Linked DNA regions of Mus musculus: all the other regions are reported to be linked to region 2. The links are microRNA targets in miRTarBase. Many come from high-throughput screens and were not tested one by one. Region 2 holds a microRNA gene; each other region holds the end of a gene's coding sequence.

Region 1 (3,251 bases), not on the chromosome of region 2:
AGATAGATTCATTTCAGGTTTTGGCAAATCGCATCCCAGGTAGCGGGTTAGAGGGTGAATCCAAGCCCTGTTGGTGACGCCCTGCTCAGATCTACCCTGCATCAGGCCAAGTCTGAACACATCCTTCCCTGGTGGAGGTCCCGCCCATCCTGTCAGATTCCCACCCCTCCACGCCCGGTACAGGTCCCGCCTCATTCAGCAAGCCCAGTAGAATCCACCCCTAGCAGGTCATTGTCCTCTTCAGCCTTTCCCACCTGCCCAGCCCAGTCCAGTCCTCCCGCCAGGCGGAACTGAACTGCTGAGCGGCTGTCCCCGTGCCTCATGCTTGCAGGCTGCCCGCTCCTAACTACCACCGGGCTATCTGGCCTCGTGCAACTGCAAGAGCTGGAGGAGCTGGAGCTGACCAACTGCCCTGGAGCCACACCCGAGCTCTTCAAGTACTTCTCGCAGCACCTGCCGCGCTGCCTCGTCATTGAATAGCGCAGGCTTCCCGACCCGGCCGCGGGAACCGGCCACGCCCTGGGCAGTAGCCCTTCTTCCATCCCTGCCGGAGCATCTCTTCTCCGCCCTGCGCTGGAGGCGGGGCAAGCTGAGGGAAATCCCGCCCCGTGCCTCCCTTGCTCCTCTGCTCAACTGCTCCTTCCCTGTCTGGGGCAAGAGGCAGAGGGGCCAGCCCCACGCACGCACGCACACTCGGGGACTTTGTGCATGCCCCTCGTGCCCGCACTGCACGCCCGCCCTCCACCATGCCACAGCCGCCGCCATCACTCGCCCGCCTTCTGGGGGTCTAGGTCCTTTTGGGGATGCTTTGAGTGCATATGCCCTCACTGGCTTCCCCACTTCATTCTGCTCTCTGCCTCCCCTCGCTGTCCCCCCATCCCGGGCAGGGCCCAAGGGGATGGAGGGATTGGTCCCCCAGGACTTAGGGGCCTGGAAGAGCCCCCAAGGGCCTCCCACATCTTCCACTGCACCGCGCCTGGAGCCCTCCAAAGGGTATGAGGCGCCACAGGCCACTGCCAAAGCCATGGCCCCCTGAGGAGCCCAACTCCCCATGCCCACCTGACCTAGTGGCTTCCCTTCTTCCTTGTTGCCATATAGGTCAGTTCTTGTCCTCTGTATCCTGCGCCCCTACCCCCGTATCTCCTTCTTTCCCCCTGGCCTACAGATCCTTGGGCCCTGGCCAGGTTGGGACAGCTTTAGGAGGACGCAGACCTTGGAACAATCAACATTAGCCTAACCGGTGCCCATCCACCTAAGTGCAAGGGTGGAATAGGCACCTGGCAGACCCCAATCTGGAGCCACCCACAGGGCTATCAGGCCTTGGGATCAGCCCACCCATTTGAGCCCCTACCCCAGCTGAGCTCAGGCCTCTCAGCACTGTGCTTCTCCCTGGATAGGTCTCCTCAGGTGGAATCTGCAGAGGGCCTGGCCATGAGTCAGGGTCAGTACTGACCAGCGATTCTGATCTCCCAGTGGCCAGCACCCCCTTCACACCCCAGGGAAGGAGGGCTCCTTCCCAGTCCTCCTTTAGTTCTCCCAGCTTCCAAAACCTTTGCCTGCCCAAAGGGTTTGTGACCATGTTCTGTCAGGTCTCAAGAAATTTGGAAGTCCTAGGGGATCCTGGCATATAGGTGACAATACCGAGGAAGGGACTGGGAACCTTCCCTCCCAACCTTGAACCCCAGGAGACACAGCACCCACAACTAATCTTGGGACACCCCTATCTGGTTGGAAGAGAGTAAACTAATTCCCAGAGAGCCAGAGGGAGAGAGAGAGAGAGAGAGAGAGAGAGAGAGAGAGAGAGAGAGAGAGAGGAGAGAGAGAGATGCTGTTGACGAAAAGTAAAGATTCAACAGCCCAAAGAGTTCCCTGCCCCTGCAGTGTTGGCCAGGGAGGCCCCAGGCTGAAGTGGTCAGGAGCCAGATTTGTCAGCCCCTCTTCCCACAGTCCCCCAACAGGGAGGGGGAAGCTGTCCATTTGCCCAAAGTATTAATGCAACTGAAGCTGTGATATTTCCAATGACTGTAGGAGGAAAATTTAAGGGGAGAGAGGAACACAAACAAAACCAACCAACCCCTAAAATCATTTTCTTATTGTACATAACGACCTCATTCTCCTGTATATGCGGAAGATATAACCTTATATTTGGTAAGTGTTTCTTGTGCTATTTTATCACGTGACCTGTTTATAAAAATATATATTAAAAAAGTTGTAAAAACACAAGTGGGTTATTATTTTTTGGTCACCTGACCAAGTTGGAAGGGATAACTCTGCCCTGGATGGCCCAGGTCTCTGGGTCTTCCTGCCTCCTAAATCATTAGAGGTACTCCATAAACAGGAGAGGTTGGAGGCTCAGGGCTGGACTGGAACCTTAGCAACTGACGAACATAAGTTCTCTAATGTCCTGAATGCACAAAAGGGAACAATGTGTTTGATGTCAAAATGTAGGTCTTCCAAAGGATCTAGGGGCGGTGGTGGCGCACACCTTTAATCCCAGCACTTGGGAGACAGAGGCAGGCGGATTTCTGAGTTCAAGGTCATCCTGGTCTACAGAGTGAGTTCCAGGACAGCCAGAACTACACAGAGAAACCCTGTCTCAGAAAAAAAAAGAAAAAGAAAAAGAAAAAGAAAAAAGAAAAAAAAAGAAAAAAGAAAAAAAAAGAAAAAGAAAACAAGGATCTAGGATCTTGCTATCCAAGAGCAGAAATGAGCCTTATCTTCTGCACGGGGTCACTAAGTGAGGGATTGTGATGTTCTAAAATAATCCAGTGATGCTGGATAGATGGCTCGGTAGTGCAAAGAATCTACTGTTCCTACAGAAGACCTGGGGTCAGTTTCCCAGCACTCACGTCAGATGCCTTTAAGCTGCCCAGTAACTCTAGCTTTAGGGATATGATGTTCTCTGGCCGCCTAGGGAACCTGAACACACATTGGTACAAATAAAAACTCACACAGGCACATTTTTGCATTTACATGTGCACACACTCAAATAAAGATTAAATAAATAAATAATCACAGACTGCTAGAAGATCAAGACTATTGTGTCCACCTCAAGAGAAAGGGCAAGTGCTGAAGGGAGGACTGCTAGCCAGCTTTGTCCTTCTCTGCAATGCCTTCTGTCTTGCTAAAAACCTTAGATTATATTCCTAGAGCTAGCCACCATGGTATGTTCCCTTATTTGGCCACTTCTACTCCTGAGGCTGGCGATGAAGGCCCAGCTATCAAAGTATTGAGGTCCAGCAATCAAAAGC
Region 2 (3,251 bases):
CAAAAGAGGTTGCTTGGTATAGTGGGTGTGGCTTAAGATTGGGCGTGGCTTAGGTGTGTGTGTCAGATCTTACAGGATAGCTTGGAAAACGTTGGGACCCTGTCCAGTGAAATTGGATAGAGTCAGATTGCTTAATACGACCCAAGAAAAGAGGTGGATGTGACATTGTTTATTAAGAGGGAAGCCAGGAGTGACCATGGCTCAAGCCTGTAACAACGGCGGCTGAGGCAAGAGGATGCCAGGAGTTTGAAGCCAGACTGGGTTACATGATTACACTTTAAGTTTCAGTCCAGCCTTGATTACAGTGAAACCCTGTCTCAGATTTATACATACATACATACATGCATACATACATACATACGGTGCATGGGGGTTCACAGCTCTGATCCCAGGACTTGGTAAGTGGAGAGAAGATCACGGGTTCAAGGTCGTCCTTGGCTGTTTACAGTTTGAAGACAACCTAGCTACTTGAGACTCTGTCTTAAGAGACAGAGACAAACACAGACAAGAAGACAGAGCTAGTCCAGTACTAAGTTAGAAAGAGGGTGTGGGTGTGTGCAGTGGTGGACGTGGTCAAGTATCTAGAGGCAGGGCTCAATGTGTAAGGGTGGAACTATACTGACGTAGAAGGAGCAAGGACTTAAGAGTAGGCTATAGTAAGTCTAAAGACAAAACCCAAGTCTCCTGAAATAATAAAATCACATTCTCAGTCAGATGATTGCCCGCATTAGCAGCTATCAACCTCACAATCATGCTAGGAAGTGTAGCTATTCTATTCAGTTTTTGAAATGAGGAACCCGAGGTAGAAGTTGGGCAACTTGTTCATACTTTGAAAAAGAGGCAGAACTGGGGAGATCTGATCTCAGGCAAGCACACCTCTGAGTCTGTGCTATCAACCGTCATCTACCCCTCACCCTATACAAAGAGTCTTGTGTCTAGATTCCTTGGTCCCGGCAATGGGACTCAGTGACACCTGACGCCTGCAGGGGTCAGCCGCGGGGGGCGGGGCAGGGGCGGTGGCGCGGGCGACTCCCAGGGCCGGAAGCGGCGGGGCCGGTCCGGGCTCCACCCCGGACCCGAAGCTCCGCCAGCAGCCGCCATGAGTAGTTTTGGAATTGGGTGAGACCCTCTTTCAGCACCCCTCCTCCCTCCTCCTGCCCTTCTCGCCTCAGGAAGAGAAGGTGGAGACACGCCCCTTCCTCTGAACTTTTCATCGTCTTCCTGGCTGCTTGAAGTTTGGGGTGTTGCTGGGTAGGGAGGGAAGGAGCGCCGGGGAGCGTTTTGTTGCTGTTGCCTAGGAGGGAGGGTCCCTAGTGACTCCGGTCTTCCAGGATCGCGTGCCTGCCACATCGTGCTGTGTGACCCTTTGGCGATCTCTGCCTCTCTGGGCCTGTGTCTTAGGCTCTTCAAGATCCAACGAGCAAAGCACAGGGCCTGCAGAGAGGTAGCGCTCTGCTCCTTACTCGCCTGATTATTCGTTCCAGACCTGCAGAGCCCCGGGGTTAGGGGAAGTATTCCTTGTCCTATCTCATATGCTTGCTAAAACACTTATTTTCTTCTTCTCCCCTACCCCTCTTTCTCTCCCCTGCATCTTTTCCTGACAGGAAAACCAAAGAAGTTATCTTCAGCATGGGTAAGTGTGGAGGATGGGCGTGAGTTCAATGATGGTAGCCTGCTGAAGACTTGGGGTCCTGGCTTCTGGGCCTTTGGTTGTCTGCCTTCAGTTTATGCACCTGTTCAGAAAGGAAGATGGAGGGGAACAGGGAGGAAGAGAAGCAAAGAAGAGAGAAGGAAAGGGGAGGGAAGAAAGGATGGATGGAAGGAGGTTTGGTCTAACCTAGTAACCCAGCATTTGGGAGCATGAGACATTTTGGAAGTTGAAGGAAGGCTAGCCTGGGCTATATAAAGAGATTCTATCTCTATATAATTATCTGGCTGTATGGCTCACACTTGCAATCCCAGCACTTGGGAGTCAGAGGCAGAAGAATCACCTTGAGTTCCATGCCAGCTTGGACTACAGAGTGAATTCCAAGCCTGTCTTAAATTCCAGGCTAGCTGTCTCAAATAATAATAATGACGTTAGTAATAATAATAATAACAATGAGAGGAGTGCAAACAAGCCTAGGGGCTGGTGTGGAAACTGACCTCCGAGGGTGTCTTGGCAGAGGAGGGATCCGTAAAGATGTTTCTGCGGGGACGCCCTGTGCCCATGCTGATCCCGGACGAACTGGCGCCCACCTATAGCCTGGACACTCGTTCTGAGCTGCCCTCCAGCCGGCTAAAGCTAGACTGGGTGTATCCTTTGACTAGCTCCCTTTCTGCCCTCTTGGAAGAGGGTAAGTCCTGGTACGGAGAGGGAGGCGCAGGGCAGGGCTACAGCTGGGCTTTCTCAGGCCACAGTGGGGGAAGTGGGGGGTCGGAAGGTGAAGGGAGTCCAGAGGGAAACAGAGTAGCTAGAATGACTCACCTGCTGTGAGTGACTCATTCAGGGAATGTTTGAAGCGGAATGTTTAACTCAAGGATGATCTTGAGAACTTGGTCTTCCTGCCTGCACCTTCAAGGGCTTGGATTACAGGATTTTGTGCACCACCACATCTGGCTCTCATGGATATCAGTCAGACAGTGTAAACTCTGTGATCTGTTTATCTGTGGAAGGTCTTCACAGGGCTAAGCTCAGGAATGAAGAATTGGAGGGTGGGGCACATTGGTTAACACACACATACACGCATATATACATTCATACATACATGTATATACGCACATAAATACATACACATACATACATATACACATACATATATATTGGTTTTTCAAGACAGGGTCTCTGTGTAGCCCTGGCTGTCCTGGAACTCTGTAGACCAGGCTGGCCTCAAACTCATAAAGATCCCCCTGCCTCTGCCTCCTGAACACTGGGACTAAAGGCATGTGCCACCACCACCCAGCTACAATAATAGTTTTATTAGACACTTTCAGTGGGGGTGTATCACACTGGGGAATGATAGTGTTTCTCAAAAAGAGGCACTGGGACCAGCAAGCAAAGATTCAAGGAAAACACTCAGGACTAAGAAAAAATGAGAGCCGGGCGTGGTGGCGCATGCCTTTAATCCCAGCACTCAGGAGGCAGGGGCAGGAGGATTTCTGAGTTCGAGGCCAGTCTAGTCTACAAAGTGAGTTCCAGGACAGCCAGGCTATACAGAGAAACCCTGTCTTGAAAAACCAAAAAAAAAAAAGAAAAAAAAAAATGACTGGCC
Region 3 (3,221 bases), not on the chromosome of region 2:
GCTCCATGGATGCACCAGGTCACTCTTTTTTTTTTGTCACAGCATGTCCCAGCCCCTCCTGGACCGCACAGTCCCAGATTATACGACCTTCACGACAGTGGGTGACTGGCTAGATGCCATCAAGATGGGGAGGTATAAAGAGAGCTTTGTCGGTGCTGGGTTTGCATCCTTTGACCTGGTGGCCCAGATGACTGCAGAGTAAGTGTACCGCTCAAGGTGCAGGCTCTGGGCAGGAACTCTGGCTGAGCCCAGCGTCGCGGGTAGAAGGGAGGGACTGAGTACCATTTTTTTCTGTCTCTAGAGATCTGCTAAGGATTGGGGTCACTTTGGCTGGGCACCAGAAGAAGATCCTCTGCAGTATCCAGGACATGCGGCTGCAGATGAACCAGACCCTGCCTGTGCAGGTCTGACACTCAGCTCCAACGAGGGGGGGGTGCCCCCCCAGGACTGCACAAGGATTCTGACCAGCCAGCTGGACTTTTGGATGCCTGGCCTCTGGCTGTGGCCCAGAAGATGGAAGTTTGGGGGAGGACCCTAGCTGTGACTTCTCCAGGCCTGTGCTCCCTCCCAGGAAGTGTGCCCCAAACCTCTTCATATTGAAGATGGATTAGAAGAGGGGGTGATGTCCCCTCCCCAGATGCCTTGGGGCCCAGGCCTGCCTGCTCTCCAGTGGGGAGTCTTCACAACTCAGATTGGGCTGCGCTTCAGTAATGGACGTCCTGGTAGGGTCAGGTGGGGATAAGCCTGGGTTCTTCAGGCCCCAGCCCTGGCAGGGGTCTGACCCCACCAGGTAAGCAGAGAGTACTCCCTCCCCCAGGAAGTGGAGGAGGAGACTCTGGGGATGGGGAGATATGGTGCCCCATCCTGAAGCCAGCTGGTACCTCCAGTTTGCACAGGGACTTGATGGGGGCTGAGGGCCCTGCCTACCCTTGGTGCTGTCATAAAAGGGCAGGCAGGAGCAGGCTGAGAAGCAGCCTGTGCCTCCCAGAGACTGACTCAGAGAGCCAGAGACTGTGTGTGTGTGTGTGTGTGTGTGTGTGTGTGTGTGTGTGTGTGTGTGAAAGACGGGGGTGGGGGTATGTATGTGTGTGTTGTGCACATGCTTGCCTGCACAGAGAGCATGAGTGTGTACAAGCTTGGCCCTGTGCCCTGTAGTGGGGCCAGCTGGGCAGACAGCAAAATAAAGGCAATAAGATGACTCTTGCCCCTGCTCGTTCTTCCTCCCAAAGCAGGTTTCCTTGATTTCCTCATGTCAGTGAGGGAACTAGGGGGCTGCTAGACCTTCACAACTTCCTGGGGGTCAGTGGGAAACTACAGCGAGGCTATCCAGGCCCGATTTCTCCTGTAGTTCAGCCCCATTGCTTTGAGCATCTAATAGAGTTCTCAGAAGTTCCTTGTTTCTGGGGCTGGGGGACAGGCTCTGGAGTCTGCGTGGTGTTCTGTAGAGTCCCTGAGGGAGAGCTAGAGGGTTAATCACTCCCCAGGGTCTCAGTATGGCTCCTCTTCCTTCACTAAGCACTGAGTGCACCCAGTCTTGGAGCCAAAGCCAATTTTACATCCACATCTTATTTCAACTCAGTAACCCAGCCAGGAGAAGAGGGAGATGTTTAGTAAGTTGGCCACAGTTCCCATCCAGCACTAGAGCCAGAGGCTGGAAACCCCTGTCTATAGACAGCCTGGAGAGGCTTGGGAGATGCATATCAAGAGTCCGGAAGAGGTCTGAAGTCTCTGGAGTCAAAGGAAGACTTGTGCGTGTCAGGATATGGAAATGAAAAGGGACATCCATGATCCTGGGTAATGGAATGGGCTGGAGGAAGTGAGTGTATGCACCCTGGGTCTGTTTTAACCAGTGGTGGCAGGGTGAGAGTGCAGGGGAGGACACCCTCACAGGGAGAGATGCAGGTCCCTTTGGACCAACAAACAGAAGCGGGCAGGGTATAACAGATGCAGTCCTCCCAGAGTAACCATAGGTGCTGCCTAGAAGAGCTTTCTGAAATATCTGTGAATCCTAACTTAGAGTGCCCTTCACTGGGAGGGACCAGGAAGGCCTAGTAACATGGGCATGTACAAGGGTTGTCAAGTGTGGCCACCTCAGTCTGGTGTTTCTGGCTCCTCCTGGGTCCCTTCACCAACCCCTGGCAGACAGGTTCTCAAGACTGCCTCTCTACCCCTTGCATTCGGTGCCCAGAGTCCTGCAGTACATACTCACCGTGAGGGGGGTGCACCCACAACGTGGATCCTCAGTAGCCCCCATGCTCCAGGGAGGGGGTGGGCAGGAGCTCCCCAGTCATCTTCCAGTGCTGTCGTCAGTGGTGTGGGCATAGGGGTACAGGAGAAGGGATGTGGGCATGGTTGCCATTCCCTTGCTGAGAGTTCACAGGTCCCAAGCCTGCTTCCTACTCTTGGGAGGGTGGCCCTCTGGATCAGTGAGAGGTCTGTGGCTCCTGTCTCCTGGGTAATTTTTCCATTGTCCCACCCCACACAATGCTGACTGTGGAGATCCACTCAGAGCGAGGCCAGGATCTGCAGGGTGGACTGGAGCCTAAGGCTAGAGGTGCTCAAGTGCTCTTCCAGCTCCGTCCAGCCCACTGAAGCCTGCATGATTTCTTTCTTTATGGGGGTATGAATGTCTTCCCCTGTCTTCCCACAGTCTCCTGCCACTGTCAGCCAGAGTACATGCACGTACTCTAAGCCTATTCCATTATCCACACACCACTTACATTACCCGTTTTCATGCCCTCAGTCTGTCCACCCTAGCCCCCCTCTTAGCCTGGGTACCTGCAGGGTTTCCCAGGACTCAGAAATAATGAGGGGAGGGGCCTGCAAGAGTCACTGCATTCCTGCCAGCTGATAGAGCCAACTGGTATTTTGTCTAGAGAGCTGGGATGTATTCAGACCCTAGAACCTCAGAACAAAGTAGTGAGGGAAGCAGGGTCTTGGCAGAGGAAGAGAGAGCACCCCAGGAGGGGTCCAGCTTCCCTACAGGCAGATAAGGAGTAGGGGGGGATGGAGTTCTCAGTCTGTCTAGTCTTCCGTTAATTACACACTCTGGGGCAGATTAGCTCTCCCCAGTCAATGATTTAAAAGAGAAGCCAGTGGGGAAGAGGGGAGAGGCAGGCCCTTTCCTGCTGAGGCCAGGTGCTGAGTAAGACCTGGGGTAGTGTAGTGTAGTAGGAAGCGCAGCCTACACAGAGCCCAGGCCGGGTGTGGAGCAAAAAACA

What was found. Region 2 holds the annotated microRNA mmu-miR-330-5p (UCUCUGGGCCUGUGUCUUAGGC, at 1,382-1,403, shown strand). A microRNA usually pairs through its seed, bases 2 to 8, with sites in the 3' UTR of a target mRNA and lowers its output. Matches are read on the target gene's strand: a 7mer-m8 pairs with bases 2 to 8, a 7mer-A1 pairs with bases 2 to 7 and ends in A, and an 8mer does both.
Region 1: miRTarBase lists Fbxl16 as a target of mmu-miR-330-5p. Seed matches in the 3' UTR shown: 8mer at 1,750-1,757.
Region 3: the mRNA of Ephb3 is a reported target of mmu-miR-330-5p. Seed matches in the 3' UTR shown: 8mer at 984-991 and 7mer-A1 at 1,005-1,011.

What each region holds. Positions count from the first base shown.
Region 1 is chr17:25,819,043-25,822,293 of GRCm38, forward strand. Fbxl16 (F-box and leucine-rich repeat protein 16) reads left to right here. Exons shown (of 6, transcript NM_001164225.2): 6 at 332-2,220. The coding sequence ends at 480. Among named protein-coding and RNA genes, the nearest start is that of Wdr24, 3.0 kb to the right of the region's middle.
Region 2 is chr7:19,180,105-19,183,355 of GRCm38, forward strand. Mir330 (microRNA 330) reads left to right here and starts at 1,361; the gene lies at 1,361-1,458. It overlaps Eml2 (echinoderm microtubule associated protein like 2), which reads left to right. Exons shown (of 22, transcript NM_001347582.1): 5 at 1,605-1,633; 6 at 2,166-2,295.
Region 3 is chr16:21,222,107-21,225,327 of GRCm38, forward strand. It overlaps Ephb3 (Eph receptor B3), which reads left to right. Exons shown (of 16, transcript NM_010143.1): 15 at 43-198; 16 at 302-1,198. The coding sequence ends at 410. Among named protein-coding and RNA genes, the nearest start is that of Ephb3, 19 kb to the left of the region's middle.